Linked DNA regions of Oreochromis niloticus. The protein of the gene in region 1 binds, or shares a complex with, the protein of each later gene. Links are inferred from orthologs where the notes say so. Each region holds a gene or a part of one and is shown in the gene's direction. Other genes may lie near its edges.

What was found. The genes of interacting proteins can lie anywhere in the genome.
Region 2: coa1 (region 1) and smim20 share a complex: the UniProt entries of both Homo sapiens proteins name them as parts of the MITRAC (mitochondrial translation regulation assembly intermediate of cytochrome c oxidase complex) complex. The link is inferred for Oreochromis niloticus from reciprocal best matches to the Homo sapiens genes COA1 and SMIM20.

Annotation. Positions count from the first base shown.
Region 1 is NC_031982.2:1,695,244-1,703,002, forward strand, and holds the start of coa1 (cytochrome c oxidase assembly factor 1 homolog), read left to right. Parts: upstream 1-4,211; 5' UTR 4,212-4,487; coding exon 4,488-4,545; intron 4,546-7,548; coding exon 7,549-7,656; intron 7,657-7,759. Other genes in the region: uncharacterized protein LOC100710183, read right to left, coding at 1-57, 245-560, 1,987-2,142, 2,405-2,478, 3,677-3,755. UniProt on the Homo sapiens protein: Component of the MITRAC (mitochondrial translation regulation assembly intermediate of cytochrome c oxidase complex) complex, that regulates cytochrome c oxidase assembly.
Region 2 is NC_031967.2:19,539,917-19,546,937, reverse strand, and holds smim20 (small integral membrane protein 20), read left to right. Parts: upstream 1-4,624; 5' UTR 4,625-4,690; coding exon 4,691-4,799; intron 4,800-5,308; coding exon 5,309-5,365; intron 5,366-6,015; coding exon 6,016-6,059; 3' UTR 6,060-6,208; downstream 6,209-7,021. Other genes in the region: man2b2 (epididymis-specific alpha-mannosidase), read right to left, coding at 1-93, 828-967, 1,128-1,299, 1,450-1,640, 1,762-1,960, 2,510-2,687, 2,791-2,906, 2,998-3,170 and 3 more.

The DNA of each region.
Region 1 (7,759 bases):
TGTTCCACTGCACCCTGTGGCCCAGTGCCCTGAGGCGTCCTTTAACCATTCTGTAGCCTAAAAAGACATCCCATAGTGAAACAATTACAACAGCACATTGGAAGGCACTTATAGTACAGTAAATCAAACTACTAACTAATCATGACATTCAGCTAGTGTTATTCATGTAAATATGAAAGGTTGCAAGCAAGAAAAATAAAATAGAATCTTATTACAAGCATTATTTTTCACATGAATAACTAACCCAGACATTTCGATTCCTGTTTTATGGCTGCAATTAAGTTGTCAAGTTCATCATCTGATAGTGAGCTGTAGGTTGCCGTTATTGAGAGGCCCCACTCTTCCATTCTTCGTCGGACTGTTTTCTGCAATATGCCCAAAAGCTTGGAGATACAAGGAACGGAGAGGTCCATCTTTATTAGATCTTTGAGGTGGTCTTTGGAAACATAGAGCTTTGCCCTCCCCCGTTCACCAGCTGAGCTGTCAACAACAATGGCAGACCTTCTCGTATCCATATTGGAATGGATGAGGCAGATAAGGTGGTGAAGAGCTTCAACTACCTAAAAAATGGTTGCATTAAAATATTTAGTTGGATGAAATCCTAGAATTCAGTTTTACCATCTTAGTAACATTATTCTTATCCCCAATCTTTATATTGAAACTAGAGCTGGGCGATATAAGATTTTTTCATATCACGATATGTTTTTTTCATTTCAGGCGATAACGATATATATCACGATATAAGCCAAATAACTATATTTGTAAGTTTTAAATGTGCCGTTACTCACAAGTAAAATGTGAAATAATCAGCAGCTTGTTTTGATTTAAATATTTATTTCCCATAATAAGTTGTATTATGTATGAATGTGTGTGTGAATGGGTGAATGACTGGATATGTAAAGCGCTTTGGGGTCCTTAGGGACCATAAAAGCGCTATATAAATACAGGCCATTTACCATTTAAGTTCAACAGGGTAGATGTACTTAAGGAACATGAGACTTCAGTTTCAGATAAATAAAGGCAAATATTGCAAACTACACAAAAGGCAGCCGCTAAAGCGTTTAAGTTTCAAAATAGAACAAACAAAACAGACTAAATTGTCAATTCCACTTAGAAACAAAATATTAATTCTAAAAATAAATCTTAGTTTGTTTTACAGAAGAACAGACAAAATTGACTAACTTTTGTCAATATCAAATAAACTGAGAACTAAAAGGAAATTCTCAATCTCTCCTTGTTGTATAGCTTAGCTTTTCAAACAGTTTTAACAGTTACTTTAGTCTGACAAAAGCCGAATGACGAATCAGCGCTTTCAGTCAGAGATTGAGCATGCACCGCTTTATTGTATTTCCAGACTTGCTTTCGGCACAATTTACAGTGCGCGCTACTCTGTTTTTTGTCAGACTTGAAATAGCCGAAATACCTTCACACTACGGAACTTCTGTGGCCCTTCCGTTCGACAAGCTCTCCGGCATTGGAACCATCATCTGTTTTTTCTTCGGTAACCTTCGCTCACGCTCTCGGTTGATTTTTCTCTAGTCGGCACACTCACTTCCTTCATTACCCGGGCTGCACGGCTGCAAAAACAAATACACATGTGCGCCTTGGCGCTTGTGCTGTACGTAACAAGTCACGTGACGTGACGCTGCGGCTGTGATTGGTTCGGCTCTGCGCTACTTAATTTTGATTGGCTGTTCTTTTTTTTCTTTTTTTTTAAGAGGACAAGAGAGATGAGGCCTATCGCAATAGTTTAATTTTTCTATCGAGAAAAAGTTATTTCGCAATACATATCGTTATCGTTTTATTGCCCAGCTCTAATTGAAACACAGAACAAAATTTCATCTTGGATTTAACAAAGCAATGGATGACAGGTTTATTTGTATAGCATAATTACTACACTGTAAAATTAACATTATAAGATACATAAGAATGGCATATATTGAAACGATTTTTAAAGATAACCAAAACTAAATCAAATAAACCTACCAGTGATGGAACATTAATATGAGCAGAAAGAGAACAGACTAGAGTTGATGCGTTCACGCAGAGGAACTCAATATGATCAAGGTCCAAGGGCTGCTGTTGGTAGGACTGCACCAGCCTATTTTGAAGGTTTTGGAAAACATGTCTTCCTAAAGCCACCTGAAAGAAGAAAAAATTGATGGAATTACTGATATCATATGAAGTGCATTGAAGGAACAATGATATGTCAAACTGCGTAAAACTCAATAAAACCAAATAATATTCTCATGAAAATCTTTTTATTTTGATTAACTTTGTAATACAGTAAAGAAACTGAATTGCATTAAAAATTATTTTTAAATATGTTCTATCCTGTGCCACCTTGCTATATTCAAAAAATTCAAACAACATTACTTTAATAATGAAAAAAAAATGAACTCACCAAAGAGTCACAGGGACATCCAGGTTCTCTGTTCTGGAGGGAGATAGACCAAGGTCCACTTGATTTACAGTCACCTGTTAAGTAAAACAATCAGACAATTTTCAAAGATTTACACGTTTCTCTATGGATGTATCATACACTCTCCTATTTAGAAGGGTTCTCTCTGAAGTACCCCGTGGATGTTCCCATGATGACACAGATGACCCACAAATTTAGTATAGCACACTTCAAAACACATAACCCGATGAAGAAAGACTTTAAAAGTCCCTAAACACATTTGACATCTGTTAGGGTTGAAAATTTATTTACAAGTTTACAAAATTATTAAATAAGGCTGTTTCATTATTTTTTTAAGATGTACACAATGCAAATGTGCTCATAAGCATGTTGGCACTCCATGTTTGAAGGTTGAGAGCGTCATTCAGCGCTGTATTTGAAATATTGCAGGGACACAGAGTGCAGAGGGGTTTTTTGCAGCATGCTTACAAACACACGATAATGGTTAGATTAGTCTCTGGGTTAGGGAGTCTGAACAAGATGCCCTGAACTGGGCCTTAGAATCAGCATCTGTTTTTATGTCACAGTATATAAGCTGTAAAGCCCGTTTCAGCATTATCCTTTTTGGGAAGCTGGTTCACACAAAAGGCTGGCACTATAAACTTGTAATTTCAACTGCTGAAGCAAATTCAATCTTTTTAAATCTTTTTCTCCTGAATTCCTTCTTAAAATTTTGAACAAGACACATCCAGTAAAGCAAATATCAACAGACGTTAGCTTACTGACACCAGACAGACACTGCACTACAGTTACTACAGAAGCATTCTTGGTCAATCTGGTACTGTATGACAGAGTACTTCTTAATGTCGCTGCCTATAAGCTGTCATAAATCCCAAAACGCTCACTGAAGCTAGGTCCCCTAACTTTCAGTAGCTGCTGAAAGTTGTTGTGTGCTGTAATTACTGTAGTATTACTCTAACACAAACTCGGGGGTGACCTGGGACCAGTGCTAAGGTCAAGTCAGAGCATTTCAGTTCCAATTATTACCAAAACGACATCTCATCGGGATTAAACTCCAAACACATAATTCTCCACGATGCTGATGTTTAAGCAGACAGACCGTGCCACACAGGAGACTATTTGAACACATGCAACACTAGGGCTAATGTTGAGAGCCCTTTTTAGGCTAGCTTTTGGCACCGAACCGAACATGATATTCAAAAATATATGTCTGGACAATTAGCTTGTTCCAGTAAACCATAAATTAAAGCTTACTTGCGCCGCAGAAGCGCCACCGCTGCCCTCCATCTTCAAATTGTGTTACCCTTCCAGGACCTGAAGGTCCGTAAAGCATCCCGCCCCCCGTCAGCCAAACCCATCTGTTCTCTGATTGGATTATTTAATTTGTGATTGACATGACATTGACCAATCAGCTTAAAGGAAGAAAAATAGGGTCAAAATTCGTACTTGTAACTTGCAGGGTTTTTTTGGCTAAGTCCACACACAAATCTTTTTTACACACACACAAATTTTTTTTACACATACAAATCCTGATTTACAAGTACAAAATATTTATGACCACATTTTGAGCCCATAGACTTGGTCAGGAGTTATTTGTTTTAATGTCTATATTTAGAGTTTCAATGAGTCTTTTTTCACTTTCAATACAAAATGTTTCTGTTTATTTATTTTAGTTACAATATTATTTTTCAATGCCAATATTTTTTAGTTTCATTTTAAGCTGGCTTCTTTTAAACCCCATAAGAAATCAGATGATAAAGTACAGAGAGTGGAACTGGTACTACACGAAGGAGTCAGGAGTGACATGTGAGGGTGATGCAGGACATGTATGAGGCCAGAGGGACGGTGGTGAGACGCGCTGTGCTGCTGATGAACCACCATAAACAGGTCTCATGTAGTACTGCGGTAAAGGACGGCTTCCAGCTTCAGCTTCTTTCTGCAAAGAGTCTCACTGAATCATGCCCGACAGGATCTAATATCATATTTGGATAAACACCGCCTGCGCGAACAAGCGACGACGGGCGCAACCGGCTGTTTAATAAAGCGCACCCACAACCGATTGGCTATGTGTTTTGTGACGTTAACGGATGTAGAGCGAATACAATGGTCCGCCGTAACGCAAGGTGAGTGTTTGTGTAGATGTGTGACCGGCGTGTGGTGTTATAGTTGTATCCACGGATGCAGCCCTTGAACTGTGACACACCTTAGCTATTTAAATATCATTTTCTTTCAAGTGAATAACGACATTTAGACATATATAGAAGATAACCTTGACATGCAGTGTATGTGTTTCAGCAAACTGGACATCTCAGCCCTTTGTCCTCGTTTCCCTTCCTCAAGAAGCAAATTATATTTAAAAAAGAAAAGTGTTAGTTTTTCAAACCCCGTGTGCTTAGCTATACTTAGGGTGACCAACTGTCCTCTTTTTTTGCACTTGTTGACTTGTAAAAGCTTTTATGACACTTTTTATTTCACCTTTTACCGCACAGAGAAGGCATCATTTAAATATGTTTTCTTTAAGCAAACAGTATTATTAAAGTTCTTCATGACTGGGCCAAGTGTCCTCTTTTTTTGGAAATCAAAATATGGTCACCCTAACTATACTTATTTACTTGTTGCTTCTGTAGACAGTTTGAAAAATCTACACAGATGCATCAAAGAATACAGCCAACCAAAGCGGGATAGCATTTATTGTTCCTGAGTTTAATATCAAGGTCGGGAAAAGGATCAGTGACGATTTATCAGTGTACACAGGAGAAATGGTTTCAATATTGTTAGCTGTCCAGTGGACTGAAGAAACCAGACCACTAAGATCTGTGATACGCTCGGACTCGAACTCATCACTGGCTGGTTTGCAAGGCAATCACTCAGAATGCAGACCTGACATTCTGATAGAGATCCAGCAAACATTATTCAGAACTGTTATGATGGGGCTTATGGTCACATTCTTATGAGTATCAGCAGAAATGAAACAGCAGATAGGACAGCAAAAGAAGCAACAAGGAGACCAATGATGGATATGGTTATTAGTGTTAGTAGGACAGAGATCAAGAGTAGAATACGATACAAAATGAAGGAAAGGTGGCAAAAGCAATGGGAGGAAGAGAGGAAAGGCCGATGGTTTTACAAAATCCAAAGGAAAGTAGGAGAAATGAGATGTACAGGAAGAAACAGGAGAGAGGAGACGGTTGTATCTCGACTTAGATTCGGACACACTGGTTTGAATAGCACATTACTTTTAATAGGAAAACACTGTACAGGGGAGTGTGACTGCAGTAGGGAACAGGAAACAATAGAACGTTTTGTTGCATTGTCAAAGTATGATGTTGAAAGAAGACAACTGATCAAAAAGCTGGATGATATGAGAGTCAAGTTGGACTTGATTGATTTATTTCGTACAAACTCTGTAAGTGAAAATAATCAGGCTGTATTTTGGTTTTTAAGGCAGACCCATTTGTTTGGGAAGATTTAAATTTTTGTATTTTTTTTTTGTCATTTCGGTCCACACTCCACGCCAGTTGGTGGCGGTAATGCACCATTTTGCTGTTTGCCAACCACCAATAAACCCCATAAAGAAGAAAAGAAGCGTTCGTCTTCTCTCTCTCCATGAGTTTGACCTTCTTAGGCCTCTGCATGTCAGCTAAACAGAGACTCTCAGCTGCAGTTAAACTTCCTTATTATCGTGGTGCAGCCATTGTTTTCATCCTCAGTCTGACCATTTTAGGGAGATCCACTTGCGCTGATATAATGCTGCCAGGCTGAGCCTAACATTTTGGCTCATCAGTTTCCGTTTTATTTGTCATATAGAAGTTAGCACAGGATCAAAATGTATTTGACGAGCAGAAGACAGTCACTCCGCAGTATAGTAAGGGTTAAGGGTCAGTAAGAGTGAGGGTTTTTATTTTTATTGAAATAGTAATAAAAAAAATAAAAATGGGGTGACCAGTGCTGAGTGTATTATGTACCTGTGAAACTGCAGAACAGCTGTGTGCATCCTGTGAAGTGTTGTGGTTGAGATGTCGACTTGGTGGTAAAAACAGTTTTTGAGTCTTGTAGTCGGAGCAGACAGACTCCTGTAACGTCTGCCAGATGGTAACAAGGAGAACAGCTGATGTGCTGGGTGGCTGTGGTCCTTGATGATGCTGTGTGCTTTACGGAGGCACCGTTGAAGATAGATCCTGAATGACAGGAGTCCTCATGCTCTGCTGCTTTCACTCTCTGTAGAGATTTCCGGCTGCTGGCAGAGCAGCTTCGAACCAAACTGTAGTGCAGCTCATCAGCAAGCTCTTGATCGCACACCTGTAGAAGTTTGAGGTTATGTTGGCGTTCATGCCAAACTTCCTCAGCCTCCTCAGACAGTAGAGTCGGTGGCGAGCTTTCCTGATAGCAGTGTCTGTGTGAAGGGTCCAGGAGAAGTCCTCAGTGATGTTGACTCCAAGGAATTTGAAGCTGCTGACCCTTTCGACCTTGACACCGTTGATGTGGATGGGCTGGTGTTCCCCGACTGGTCGTTTCCGGTAGTCCACTATCATTTCTCTGGTTTTGCTGATGTTAAGAGACGGGTTATTTCCAGGCACCACTCGTACAGCACCATCACCTCCTCTCTACCTGTGCTAGCTTTGGACATGTTCAATCTTAGCATCCACCATAAAAACAGTAGATACATGACTGAAAATAAGGGAAAAAATCAAAAGCATGAACCATACTTGACTTTATAGCTATATGTATTGGATGTATTCACAGTTATTTGGATATGGAGTGGTTATTCTTATGGTGCACTTTGTGATGGATTATGTATGTGCATGTATGTGTCTTTGTGTGTTGGCAACCTTTACCATCATTAGCTGAACTGTCTCATGGATGCAGGCGGTGATATTAATAGTACTTGTCCAACTGTATGTGCGTAGGAGAGAGGGTCAGTGCGTCACCATATTTTTTGCTATTAAAAATGACAAAACATGTTTTTTCTTTTTCAGAAAATTGGAAATGTGTAAGACTTAAGCCTCTCAGAAACTTTTAGATTGTTTTCTAAAGTCACCACAGAATTCACGGCAAATCATGAATACTTCCTTATTAAAACACCGATGCTCTCTGTATACCGACCAGATCATTGTCATTCTTTGCAGGAAAGAAAGCAAGCATGAGGATTTCCAACAGTCACCTGCAGCAGCTCACCATCTTCACCACTGTGCTGACGGGTGGAGGGATTGGCACCATGTACTACCTGCTACAGAGTGAGTACAATGCTCTGTGTGTGCTTCATTTACAGTTCGGCCAACGCTTCCAGTTAGTGAAACTTTTCATGTCAGCAGCTTCGATCATGTACTGTAGCTCTCG
Region 2 (7,021 bases), on another chromosome or scaffold:
GAACTTAATTAAGTATTTCCTGTACTGAAGGCCTCCAAGTTCCACCACGATGAAAAGGTCGTAGGTTGCATTGGAGTGTGCTGACCCCTGGATCTGAAACAGACAGGGGAAGAGTTGAGATTAATACATACAAATGCAGATAAAATTGCTCATTCAGGAAAAATGAATCACTTGACTCTTTGACTCTTAGTTGTTCTAATATAATTAAAAAAGACTTGATGGCTAATGCTACCAACTTTAGCTATGTAGATGCTTCTATACTTGCTGATACACTGTGCTTTAGCATTGTTTACTATCAATATACAGTACTGTGCAAAAGTGTTGAGTCACTCCTCTTTAAAAAAAAAAAAAAAAAAAAATAGTATCTAGTATTTTTTCCCCATTTATTTAGTTGAATCCATGATAAATGTCAAAGATAACACAGTATTTTTGCACCAACAAGATGATCCCCAAAGAGATATTAGCAGAAAACGTGGCATATCTCAACATGATATCTCAGTACATCCTTAAAGAATTTAAGGAAACTGAATAAATGCAGGACAAAGGTCTTAAAAGCTTTCAGCAGATGAAGAGTATCTGAAAATCATAACCTTAAGAAATATGCAAAAACCCCAGTAAAGACCTTTTAGAGCACCTGAGAGATGCATCAGGACCAGCAGGTACTCCATCTATTATAAAAGTGATGATACCCCCCATCCAATACTGCATTTTCATGCATGTTTGCACATTTCTGTAAATCTCTGCACATATTTCCCATTCACCTATCAACATATTAAAAAAAACAAAACACCATTACACAATGGTTACCAGCATCAAAACAACAGTACCTGAGCAGGGACAGGCTGTCCATCATCATCAAACACGGCTGCGCTCGGCTGCGTCACGGTTACGTTGACGATCGTGGTGATGTTCCACGCCAAAGGGTTATAAACGATGACATGCTGCTCCAAAGTCTGCTCAATATCTGCTACAGAGCAAATCGATGAGCAGTTTACTTCCTTTTTTACTTTTACATGCAAAGACATGCACTGGCTAACATGCTCTGTTTAGCTCAGTTAATTATTATAAAAACAGTTTGTTTTTTTTTTTAAAGTGGAAGCACTGCAGAAATATCAGATTATTGAAACCTTTTGTAGGGTAGCGCTCGCCAAGGATGCTGGGACTCTGGAGGTTGTGGGGCAGCAGAAAGAGAGCAGCTAGGAGCTCCTCTGCTCCCATCATGGCCTGCAGGAGATGCTGCAGGTACATGTCAGCCACTTTGGGAGACTCCGTGCCAGTGATGCCATCATGATGCTGCACCTGGAATACCAAACCACTACCAACTGAATGTTTGAACTTAATTACAGAGAAGTATTTAGCATGATGATTGCGTTGCCTTCTAATCCATATATATTTACTGCACCTTCAATGTTTTGCAGTATTTGTTATCTCACTATGTTTCAGGAATACCTCAGAAACAGCCCAGCGCAGCGCTCTGAGTTTGTCCAGGGCCCAGTCCTTGGCCACAGGTCCATCTGGGAAGCTGATTCGGTAGCGGGTGAAGAGGGTCTCTGCTGCGTACAGCCTGGAGCTGGCCTGTCGCGCCACGCCTTTCAGGACGTTTCTGGAGGCGTAAAACCCCGTCCATGCCTGGTAGGGCTCTAAAAAGTGCGACACATTTCCAATTTACATGAAGTTTGTACGAGACAGCGTTTCCTGTTTTCAAATACACAGTACTCTATATAAAGAGCACTCCTCACTGTTTTGATATCGATTTCTTACCAGTTGAATATGGCAGGAAGTCTTCACTCCCACGCACCTCCCAGGTTAGATTTGATTGGTAGATGGTCTGGAAGTATTCACTCAGAGTGGCGTACTGGACTGTTACCCCAAACTCTTTGCTGTTCTGGTTGATGTACTTCATCAGAGGGTCCATGTTGTTGAACTGTACTGATGAGTTGTAGAACTGTTTGTCACAACCCTACAACATGACGATCGCACATGTGAGTGGGCTGTTTCACAAAAATAACTCCCACATTTTGTCCCAAACCTTAGATACGTTTACCATAGACTGTATATAAAAGATGGACACTTCCACAGTAGAGTCCTACTTTGAAACTTCATTTTGAAGTTTCCCATTTTTTCTTTGTAACAGATCATTATTTGGAAAAGAGAGCGAAGTGGTAAGTCATCAGCTTACAATATCTAGCTTGATTAGGGTCAAATAAAAGATAGCTTCTTTTATGGTTTATTGGTGCCGTTACCCACACCAAGCAACATTATTTGTCAGATAACATCTTTAAAAGTAGTTCAAAAACAACAAAAGTTCTTTTGTTTTGCTTTACAAGCTTTAAACATGCTTTTAACCTGAAGTTTGACACTTCTACACAGGGGTTTGTGAGGATTTACTCACTTTTTGGAGCTCGCCTTTTTTAGGGCCTTTTCGGGAACTGCATTTTTAATACCTTGAGGCTGTTACTTGGATTTGATACAAGGTGGATGGATGGTTTTACAGTTCCTTTTGACTTACCCATGGCCAAAGTACATGATTAGTTCTAAACCACGCTGCTCTCTGCTTGATGTTCTCCACCATGGTCTTGGCGTAAGCATGGACTGTCTCCTTGGTCACGGGTAGGCTCATGTTGGGGTAAACTCCATCTTTAGGTGGGTCCGGAAACAAGGCAACTCCATTCCAATAAAACCCGGAACTGAGACATATGAGGAAGAACAAGAATGGTTATTAAAGATATATCTTATTAATGACGACCACAAATGTAACATAAAGCAGCAGAGAAGCTAAAAATGAAGCACCAGTTGGAGAACGGCAGGTAGGATGGAGTGCAATAGCTGAACTGGTCCATGGTGTGAGTGAAGATCTCTTGCTGTGATTTCAACGAGGGAGAGCCTCGCCATACAAACTGCAGTTTCTGTGTTAGGAAACATAAAACTAGATTAGCTATAAATATTTGGACCACAGATTGAGACGACCATGCGTCTTTTATTTTTATGTTGAGTTACCTTGTTTTTCTGCATGATATCCTTAAGGTCATAATCAATGCGAGAGATGAGATGTGCATTGAATCCAGCCAGGGCAAACAGTACAGGGGTGGTGGCAGAGGCTCCGAAAGGATCCACATGCCATGAGAACTGAGGACGCACCCCAAACGTCTCATACAGGAAGCCATGACCCTCTGAAACAGCAGGGAGGTTCTTGGTTACTATATACTGTGGCTATAACAAATGCACAGTGCGTGTTCCTCCCTGAGCCTGGTTCTGCTGGAGGTTTCTTCCTGCCAAAGGGGAGTTTTTCCTTCCCGCTGTCACCAGGCACTTACTTATATGCTGTCACTTGATCATTGGGGTTTTCTCACTATTACTCTAGAGCACGGGTCCCCAATCCCAGTCGACGAGGGCTGGTGTCCCTGCAGGTTTTAGATCTCATCCTGGGTCAACACACCTGAATCACATGATTAGTTCATTACCAGGCCTCTGGAGAACTTCAAGACATGTTGTGAAGGTAATTTATCCATTTAAATCAGCTGTGATGGATCAAGAACGCATCTAAAACCTGCAGGGACACCGGCCCTCGTGGACTGGGATTGGGAACCCCTGCTCTAGGGTCTTTACCTTACAATATAAGGCACCTTGAGGTGACTGTTGTTGTGACTGTGGTGCTATATAAATAAAACTAAACTGTACACACCCCTGTTAAAATCTCGGGTTTTTGTGATGGTTTATTGTGGTCTTATTTTTGTTTTAACAACAAAAACCTGACATTTTAACAGGAATTGTTCACATTTTTAGAACCACTGTAAGTTATTGCTGCAGCTGTGGACTGAAGGAGCAGGACGTGTGTGGCGTTACCCATCATCTGCAAGATGTCATCGTCCAGGTCAGTTACAGCCTCATCGTGCATCACTTGACCTCCGATGATGAACTCAAGACGACCTTCTTTGATAAGCTGTCGTACCTGGAGAGAAAGAGAGAGGCATGTGCACAAAAAACACAGCAGGGTTAATCTGAGAGAAAACAGCTTGGATGTTTCATTTTTGGGGCATTATCGTGTGCCCTCCACAGTCAGGTAGCCGTGAATACATGGCCTCACCTGTTTCTTTTGTGTGTCCGAGGCCACGGTGTCCCACCAGAGACGGAAAAACTCCTGCTCCACAGCGATGAACCTGCGCTCTTTAACCTTTGACAGCTCCTCAGTCACACTGCTGTACACATTAGCTGCATAGGCGTGCATACTCTCCTGCACTCACATTTATAAACACATTTACCCAGATTAAAGCCCAACCTGCGCGTTAAATGCATCTCAAGTTTAAAGCCGGGTTAAAGACACCTACCTGGATAGTGTACACCCAGCCAACATCCATGTGACTGTGAGGGATCACAAATGTCTGAATCGGCTCTTCTTGCCCTGCCACTCCATGCGAGAACCAGCAGCAAACAGCAAACACGACAGCCGCTACAAATCCCATTTTTGAATCCCATACGAGAGAAGACGGCTTAGATAACTTCGCCGACTTCCTTATTATTGTTGTGCTGCGGCATGTGACTCTGACGACGGAAGCCCAGACACACCAAACCGCCGACTTGTCGTGTCGCCTTTTTTTTTAAAGGCTCAGGTGACCTTTTCACCGGAAGCAGTCAGTGTAAACAGTGCGCACATTTGGAGGCGAGAGCGATATTTTTCTACCCAGCAGAGAAAATGTCTAAAAACACGAGAATAATGTTGGTGTTTGGAGGGTTTGTGACGGCCGTTGCTGCCGCGTTTTACCCCATATTTTTTTACCCCCTCACACACAAAGACGAGTACAGTGAGTACGCTTTCTTTGCTTTCATTTAGTTACACAATTAGTTTATAAAGCCTGGCCTAATGTCGTTTATAATTCTCCTTAGTTACGGCTGAGCTAAATGTCACTTTACTACACAAATGATAAGCAGTCCGTGTAGGCTTGTTTAGCTTAGCTAGCTTAAAGAGTGCCATTGAGGTAACTCATTTAACAAACCCATACATTCAGTTAGAGCGCCTGTTGGAGTCAAAGGTGATCATGAACATTATTTGACTTGAATAAATCCAGCTTATTTATTACTACTACATTTCTTCCCTGTTTTAAAGGGAGTTATGTCAGCTAAGACAAATATAGTCATTATCAGGTACATGGAGAGCTGTCGTCTTGACATACATGGGACATGAAGACAGTAGAAACTGGTAATAATCAGCTTTAGGAAAGGAAATTGTTTATATCAGTGACTTTAGCTGCAAGTTGTTGTTGTTTTTTTTCATACGTTTACCTAAATTGCTATGTTGTTCTGTCCTTGCTAGGAGAAGTCCAAAAGGTGAACCGGGCAGGGATCAACCAGGCAGATGTGCAGCCGGCGGGTAAGTGTGCTTAGTAGATTTGATCTGTTATCAGCTTGTTTGTACAGCTTGCATACTGTACATAAAAATTCATGAATTACAACATATATCTTAAGAGTAAAGGGGATCGCTATTGTTATATTTTCTCTCAAGTACAGTACTGTGCAAAGGTCTTAAAACACTCCTCATTTCTTTATATTTTGCAACAAAAATGGGAAACGGCTTCAGTAAGGTATTGTGCAAACATACATGGAATTACAGTATATAAAGGCAAAAACAGAGTTTGTACAATCCTAATGAGTTTGAAAGTCAGTATTTAGTATGACCACTAAATTCTTCATCACAGCCTGAACACTCTTACGCAATTCAATTTTATTTATATAGCACTAAATCACAACAGCAGTTGCCTCAAGTTAGCTTTCTTGTCATTTCTTTAAGTAGTCTTCAGGAATAGTTCTTCAGGCTTCTTGAAGGACATTTAAACCCCCTCTTTGGATGTTTCTGCCTTTTGTTCTGTTCTCTGTTAAGACGATCTCACACTACTTCAGCAATGTTGAGGTCCAGCATCTGGAGGCCAATCCATGACTGATAGACTGATACAGTCTATATATGTGTGTGATTATTATTAATGAGAGCTCTCTGTCTCTGTGTCTCTTTTTTTTTGTCTGAAGGTATGAAGATATGGTCTGATCCATTCAAGCCTGCAAGCAAATGATGACCACAGTGACCCCTTCACTGAGACGCTGCTGCAGACTCTGAGTACAGAGTGTCTTTTTGATATGTGCTTGGTGTGCGTGAGTGAATGACTGTTGAGTGATAAGTTACCTGTTAAATAAACTATAATCAACTACTTAAGAACCCAAACGTGGATATCTTTTTTTTATATTGTGTTTGGATGGAGGACGGCTAGCTACACAGAAGCACAGATACAAAACAATGACTGTTTTGTTTTTACCCTAAATTCAACCTAAAGCCTGCTGGTCTCCTGTTGCCCACATGAGGGCGCACCACTCCTGTGTGTTCCCGCTAAAGGCAGTGGACTGTGTAATGTCTTGTTTGTGCATCTGAGATATTTTGGAAAAACCATTGTATTTCCAAAAAAGCTTTGCTCTGGTATGCAGCCTGTAGGAAATTATAATAAAATGCAGTGGTTTGTTTACCCATCTCATTCACAGGAATCCCTTTTGACATTTTATTTTGATTTAGTTGATGCGAGAGTCATTAAATCGGTTCAGCAGATGAGGGACAATGTCCAGCAATGTGCGGTATCATCTTCCAAAATGGAAACAGTAGAGACAGAGTTATTCCAGGACACATCACTCTGTATTATCATTTCCCTGTCACGCAGGCAGGGTTTAACTGTTGCTGTTTAAATGACATGTGACCGGCTATGTTTTGCCCATAGGCTGAAAGGACGGGGCACGGCTCCACGATCGTCTTGTTCAAATCCTACTCGATGTGATCCAGACTCCCTTTACGAGTCCACGGGTGCTGTAAAAGCAGAGAATTCCAAAACTACCATTTTTTCCCCCCTGTACTTTTGTGGTTTCCTGACATTGACCAGCATCCCCCTTTCAGAGTTTGGTCCATCAAAGTCCTTCTGGAAGAAAGATAGATTAAGAAAGAACTAAAGCATGTGTTTATGGTCCTTCAGAGATGGGGCATATTTAAAGTTGC